2 linked regions of the Coturnix japonica genome follow. The protein of the gene in region 1 purifies or fractionates together with the protein of each later gene. This does not show direct contact. Links are inferred from orthologs where the notes say so. Each region holds a gene or a part of one and is shown on either strand. Other genes may lie near its edges. The genes, in order: KIAA0556 and CILK1.

What was found.
Region 2: the proteins of KIAA0556 (region 1) and CILK1 purify together in Homo sapiens (affinity purification with mass spectrometry; 3 studies listed by BioGRID and IntAct, with this or other methods). This does not show direct contact. The link is inferred for Coturnix japonica from reciprocal best matches to the Homo sapiens genes KATNIP and CILK1.

The regions. Positions count from the first base shown.
Region 1 is NC_029529.1:10,587,614-10,591,434, reverse strand, and holds part of KIAA0556 (protein KIAA0556 homolog), read left to right. Parts: intron 1-1,914; coding exon 1,915-2,064; intron 2,065-3,021; coding exon 3,022-3,185; intron 3,186-3,821. UniProt on the Homo sapiens protein: May influence the stability of microtubules (MT), possibly through interaction with the MT-severing katanin complex.
Region 2 is NC_029518.1:80,675,089-80,678,909, forward strand, and holds part of CILK1 (serine/threonine-protein kinase ICK), read left to right. Parts: intron 1-337; coding exon 338-451; intron 452-1,147; coding exon 1,148-1,302; 3' UTR 1,303-3,821.

The sequences.
Region 1 (3,821 bases):
ATACCTGGATAATGTCCTTGCTTCTTTTTAATAATCGTGCATTCTAATCACCTCCTTCCTTGGTAAAGAGCAAACCAAGTTTGTGTTTTTGCCTTTGGGTAGACTTCTGACCAGGGCAGCCCTTTTACTGTATGTCCTTATAGAAATAATTCTTCTTAAAGTACATTTGGAATTTAGTAAGCTACAAGAAACAACCTTCTTGTAGTCCCAGGGTCTATGTCAGGCCTGAATATAATTAAATTCACGAGTACAACATTGTTTGTATACATGGATAGGCATCCTATGGTTTCTTTATGTATAAATACAAAAAATTATTGCCATGGGATGTTTAGAAGTTCAAATACATTAATGCCTTAATTAGTAGATGTTACAAAGTACTAGCTAGCAAGTTCATTTTTAGTTTGAATTAAATGCAGACTTCAGCCTCGTGAAGAATACGCTGTATATTTCATATTTTCCCTGTGCTTCTGCTGCTCACTGCTGTCAGAGAAAAGATCTTACCATAGCTGGTTATTTGTTCTGACCCATTAGGGATGCTGTTATACCCAAGGGAGCTGTACACTGGGATTTGCTATGCTGTTTGCTAGGAGACAATTGAGGTTGTAGGCACATACAGCTTCTCAGTGTTGACAGCTACATCAGCTTTCAGCTGGGGCTCCAGCTTCCTGGGCTAGCTGTTCCCTCAAGAATTTAGTAACAAGTTTCAACCCCTCTGATAGGCCCCAGGTGTTCAGTTTTCAGGTTTGAGATGGGGAAAAAATAACCACCATCCAACTGGTATCTGTATTATTTTGTATTGATAGTAATATGCAGGGAGATTTAACTGGTTTTGACAGATAAATGTGCTTGCTTCTGATACAGAAAGCAGAAGCAGAACACTGCTGACTGTGTGGTAGACAGGCTTTAGGTCCAGCTTTGGTGTAATCACATAAACCACAGTGAATGACTCAGTCACCCAGCCTGAACTTATACAGCACTAGACCTAGCACTTCTGTGGATGACTTCTGGGTACTGTTTGGCTTTACTCAATGGTATTTCAGTTCTTCTCAGCTACCTTTTCCACTGATTAAAAATCATAGTTTCTCACTCAGAAATTCATATCTTCTATTGCATCCTCGTTAACGCCGATTGTTTCACTTGATGGTTCTTTGTTCTTGTTAGCACAGATATTTGCTTTCTACTGCAGCAGAAAAATAGCTCCTTAGCAATGCCACCTAAAACTTGTGCTGGTGTCTAACTCCTGTCTTCACTCATTTTCTCTGTAATCTCTCTTCGTTTCTGCTATCCGACATCCTTTTCTCAGGTTGGCTTTCCTTCTGAAACTCCTTTGGCTTGTCTCAGAGAAACAACATCAGGCTAAGCTTTTTCTTTTCCCCTGGCATTGTATCATAGTGAGGTTAGGCTTACTATAGCTGCTTCTTTCTTCATCTGTCATGTAATTAAGGGAGTAAGGGATGTGGTGGCAGTGAGAACGTGAGTACGTGGCTTATCCCCTCACCCCCAGAAGTAAGAGCAGATAAGTACTTCTATGAACTGAATGATCATTTCCTTTTAGTCTATGCCTCAGGAATAATTTTGACACAACTGCATTAACGAGTGACTCAGGGTTTCTTGCTTATTTTTGCTCTTCTGGTCAGCAGTGCTTGGAAATACCTGCCCCTGTTAAGATACATTGGTCTAATGACCTGACCTACCTTATGGTGATGTATTTCATCGCTAAGTTGGTTGAGGCTATGCATATGAATAGAATATAGAACTGCATCAGTAAAAGGAAAGGAAGATGGTGGTTATCATTTTACCTATGCCAGCATAATTAAAGTGGCAAAACGTTAGCATTTAAGGTACAATAATAATTCCTGTCTTGCTACTTCTGATGATCTCTGAAGTTGATTTTTCTGTTTCCTTATCTTACAGAATTGAAGCCAGTGCGAGTTCTTTCAGCCAAAAGAAAAGATAATGCTGAAATGTACATTCCTGTCAGACCAGTTGTGGTAAAAAATAAAATCAATCGACCGCTCTCTGCTGAGTCCTTGCAGCCAGACAGGCAGGAAAGAATTTGCCATAGTAAGGAATATGAATATATGTCAGTAAAGAAGATGTTAATGATTTTGTTTTCCAATCTGATTCATGTGTAATTTCATCTGTCATTATAATATTTTTTTTAACCTTTTATTATTATTTTTTTAGCACTTCAAGAATTCAGACTTAAGTAGGATTGTGAGGAAAAAATCCAGAGCTTGCACACTTGAGTCTGTGCTGTGTCTTTGTTAACTTTCTTCTCTTTTTGCTTCTATACCATAAGATTTCCTCCTCTCGTTTTGGTCCTTATATTTGCTCCTTTCCATTTCTCTGATGGATTTCTGTTCTTTATAGCATTAGCAGAAGTGTGTCTTAAGATCAGGAATTCATGCTTAGTTGAAAGCTTTGAACACAATGCATCTGTAGAAAGAAAGGAACTGAAATTTCCCATGGCCAAAGTTGATGCTTTTAGATTTTAAGTCTCCTCTCCTTTAAACTTTTTTCCAGGCTGTGATGCTTCTGTTTTTCTGTCATGTTTGGGAAGATGGGTGCAAGTTCATAAGGTCATTTATCTTATGCTGCAAGTATCAATGTCTGAGTCTCTTGATTTTTACCAGAAGAATCTTGGGATTTCCCAGAATAGCTGAATACTCCAGTTACATTGAAAAATGTTGGTGGGCTGAAATTATATGTACTTTTATTTCAATTAGCTGTTGCAAAGCATTCCCAGTAAACGTCTGAAAAAATCAACTACATTTTTAATGCATAAAAATCCCATTTGCCGTTTTTCAGTTTTGCTTCTTTTGTGATGCAGTTCCATCTGTTATTTAGGGTAGATGGAAAAACAAATTGGAGCAGTTTAACCTTGCTTTAGTTCGTTACTGTTTAGTTAGTGTAGCACTGTACTAGTAACAGAATTGGATGTTTCAGATGTGTGCTGTTGAATATTCCATGCTTGTTTGTCTGTACAAATGGCTATTCCTTTGTGCTTTTTCATGGCAGGACCATTAAGTCGACCAGAAAGACCACTTTCAGCAGCTCGAAAGAATGAGTGTGAAAAGGACTCTGAACTCTCTGTTTCAGCTGTGGTTAAAGCTATGCAAATTGAAAATGAAGCCTTGCAGAGAGATTTGCAAAGCCAGTCAGTTTCCACAAGCCCTCAAAAGGTATGGCAAGAAAGAAAAACAAGTGTTTCTTCAATAAGGAGAAAAGAGGGTTTCCTTGAACACGAATTATAATAGTTAATTCTTACACAATTGTAGAATAAACAGTGATATCTCAATTGTAATTGGATTTGTATTACTTCCATAGGGTGTGGGTGTTTTTTAAATCTGGCTCCTTGGATACCACCCCACAGCTTTCTCTTGCTTTCAGGGATCACTGAGCAACTGATAGCTCACTCGTGTGATATGTCTACACAGTCAAGTGCTCAGCTGTAGGCCCATTTGAGCCATTTTCATTCTGAAAGCTTCCTAAACAAGATATGTGATTTCCTTGCCAATATTTCCTACCATCTTACTATATTTGTTAATACGAGCACAGTTTCTTGTTAATAATACATGCTCAGCATGTGCAGTGTGTGTATATCTTTTATCTCCAATAAGCACATTTAAAAGCAATTAAAAACTTTATAAACAAGGAAATTAAAAAAGTCTACTCCCTTCAGGTCAGGCCATTGTTCCCTTTTAAGTTAAAAATCGGATTTGTGCAGATGTGCTTAGAAGGTGGGATGCAAACAGGGAGAGAATTTGTTTTGTCATAAAAAATGACAAGACTTGTCCTCTGTTGGTTTTTATCCCTTA
Region 2 (3,821 bases), on another chromosome or scaffold:
GTACGGCTGTATTATGACTAGATGATTTTATTTAAAACTGTTTTCTTTCAAAAGGGACAAAGGTTATCCAAAAGGTCAGTCAAAGCTGTTCTCTCTTATGGTAGAGACAAGTTTGGTAGTGAGTTGCCAGGTTTGGTACATGAGTCTATTCCAGTTTATTGGAATAAACAGAGGCATACAGAGGATCCATGGACTTCAGGTATCTTTGGAAAAATTCTTGTTTCTATCAGTCCCTGATCAGCTTTCATCTCAAGTGCGGCCCATCACTTTGCACCTTTGTTACCTGTGCAGGAGATGTACTGCACTGACCACAGCTGTTCCTTGCATTTTCTTTCAGGTCCTATAGGATCAAATGGTCTAACTGGTGGTTATATCCCTTCATTTATGAAGAAGGAAGCAGGCTGTGCTGGGCAGAGAGTTCAGTTAGCACCAATTGCAGATCCATCTTCAAGTAAGCGTGGTACCATCATCATCTTGGTCCCTTGCTCGTTACTTTGGTTATTCTGTGTATATGCAGCATTATGTTATAGATCCGTGCTTTATTTGTAGTTATTTGAGTGACTGGAACTACTGCTCGGAGCCTTGCAGAACTTTGTATATAAAAGAGTTAGTTTTATTTAGTTTATGAACTATGTGTTTTAACCACAGCTGTTAACCAATAAGGACATTGGAATGGAACATAGAGTCTGATGCGAGACCTGGCACAGAATTCACACTTACCAATCCATGGTGTAGGTGATCACAGAATAACAGAATGACCCGGGTTGGAAGGGACCTCAAGGATCATGTAGTTCCAACCCCCCTGCCTGGCAGGGCCACCAAAACATACACATTTACTAGATCAGGTTGCCCAGGGTCCCGTCCAACCTGGTCTTAAACACCTCCAAGGACGGGGCATCCACAACCTCCCTGGGCAGCCTGTTGCAGGGCCTCACGACTCTAAGGTGCACTCTAGGTGCTTCTTGTTTTAAGATTTTAAGGGTTTTAAGGTTTGGATCACACATGTTGCTTCACATCAACAAATCCTATTAAAAAAGGATGCTTGTTTCCCGAAGAAGTGAAGATCTACATCTGCATCCAGTTGTCTTTCAGCATGGACAGCCACTTGATTAACCTTAACCTCTTGGAGTCTCCTTTCCTCCCTTAGATTATGCTCCTCTGACGTCAGCGAAACCCCATCTTGGACGGCCACCATTCAATTCACCTTCTAAAAGCACCCCCGGGGTAACGCAGCTCCCACCCCCAGCTCAGCCGATCCATGGCCGCATTGACTGGTCTGCGAAGTACCGAGCTCAGCGGTGACACCTGCAGTGCTCTCCCAGCAGCGCCTATTTCCCAAATGGTGACAGACACGTGACAGTTTTCTACTGTTCTATAGACTTGTAAATTTAAGAGAAGCAAATCTTCTACGGTCGAGACCTTTCTGAAGGTCACTTTGCTTTTGTTTTTTAACTTTCATTTGTATTAATTTCAATGCAATCTTGTACCTTTTTTTTTTTTTTTTGTATGAACTTTTGTTATATAATTGTGTCCAATTATTTTCATAGATCTGATACCTTTTGTATATATGGCTTTAAAGATCTTGGCATTTTGATACGATACATTTTTATAACAAACTTTTTTAAACTGTAACTTTTCCTTCATTGGATTCAACATTTTTTATAAAAACGAGTTTTTAGGAAAAAAAAAGCAAAGTGGTGCAATATTGTGTTGGAAGAGAAGAGTGAGGAAAGGCGCATTCGTTACGATGTTTTCTAAAGCTTATGTGCTAAGTGAGACTGTTCAATTGTGGCGATGCCGCGTCTTGATGCCACACTGCTGCTGTTGTGCACTCGTTTGCTTTGGACACCAAAGGAATGAGTGAGCAACAGCCTAACGTCTCCTCTGCAGCCACTGAGAGACTGCTGGAAGTCCCAAGTCAGTGGGAAGCTTTTCTTTCTTGTATTTATTATTTGAATTTCACAAGGCTCTTGTTGGTCCACTGTCCAGCTTTCCTTTCTTTTGCTTTTACCAAAGCTGGGTAATCTTGTTTTGTAAAGGATAATCAGTAGATTGGTTTCCTGACACTGCTTGTTTGTCCTGCTTCAAAGTTACCTCTTGGTGTTGTTCTCTATGAAATAGAATGTGGACCTACCTCTCTTAAATTTCCTTAAGTGTTTCCTAATGGCTGATAAGGAGAAACATCAGGTTCTGTTTTTGCTGTTGTCGGGAACAGAAGATCCAAATGCATATGTAAGGCGGTATTGAGAATTACAAAGCTAAAAGTATTAGCGAGATGCCAGCAGCAGAGTTTAAGGAAACAGTATCTATGCATTTGACTTAATTTTTTTAACTGTATTAATGACTCTGGGGGGGGGGGAAAGTAAATTTGGAGCAATTGGATATGTTCAAGCTTCAATTCTTCTTCATTTCAATATGTCTTCATTTGTGATGTGAAGAGTACATCAGTTGCTGTAAATTAGGCCCTCAGACTCTACTGGGTGAGAATGAGGCCTTACGTCAGACTGCTAAAAACAATTCAGTTTGAAGGAGAAAATGAATGAGTGGGTTCTAGGCAAAGGAAGGTCGTTTCTGCACTGGAAAGCAGCACCAGAGTTCAGCTATCAGCAAATGCTTCATTTTGGTCATAGTGTTTGGCTATTCCTTCACCTCCTTCCACAGAAGATGAGTCCTGTAGGTGAGATGGTTACAGTGCTGTGGGAGAACGTCTTTTATAGCTGCATTTTTGGATGAGCAACTTCAAAGCTGAAACGTGCTGTGAAAACACATCGTCCCACAGAACTGTACAGAAATGCTCAGCTTTGGGGAAACCTCATCTAAACTCATTTTATGAATGGATTGGGCTGGTCTGGTAGTGATGAGGTGTCTGAAGGGATCGGAGCAGCTGTGGTTCTTGGCATCTGGCTGCTTAGAAGGAGAGAAGTGTGCCAGTGATGTCCTCAGTGGGAGATCTGCATGCCCCGTGAGGGGCACCTGCTGTGGGATGGAGGCTGGTAACACACCCCGGCCTTCTCGGTTCGTTCCATGAGGACACACGGGACTCAGGAAACACCTCCCCATAGTAAGCTGCTGGCTCAGTGCTATGGGGAACCCAGAGGGGCTCTGGTCACTGTTGGCTTTTACTGACTCAATCCACAAGGCAAAAAGGACCAGAAGTGTCTATGCATTAAGAAAGCATGTGCCTAAGACTTGCCATGTCCAGCTACGCCAGGCATTTGTTAAGAACAAGTGCTAACAGCAAACTATACACAACTGCTTCCATAGCAGCAATATTAATGCATAGCAATGACCATTCCAATTCTAAGCCACATGCTGATGTTGTGTTTGGGTAAGTGGAAAGGGAAATATGTATATTTGTGTTAGAAACTGTAAAGGTGGTTGTTTATGTTGGTGGAAATAAATATCTGTATTTATATCTAGATAGCATTTAATTTATTTTATTTTTTGCTGAATAATCGATTTAAGAGGAAATAGCCTGAACCTATCCTAAGCATCCCTAGACCTATATAGGCAGTTTATGTAGTCTGTTCCATACATACAGTTCCAATGAAAGGAGACAAGTCATGAGAGCACGCTGCTGAGGCTTGGGCTCATCCTACCTACCCACATGTGCCTGAGCTTCTTGCAAAGCAGGGAGGAGTGAGAATCACATCTCGAGATGTGCAGCTGACCTGAGGACTTTCCTGGAGATGCCCAGATCTCTCTCTGTTAATGATGGGGACCGCTCCAAGTGCTTAAAGTGATACAGGATGAATACAGACTCGGCCTGTGTATATCTGAACCTCCATCAGCCCAGCCCTGTTTTCTTGCTTGTGGTGTTC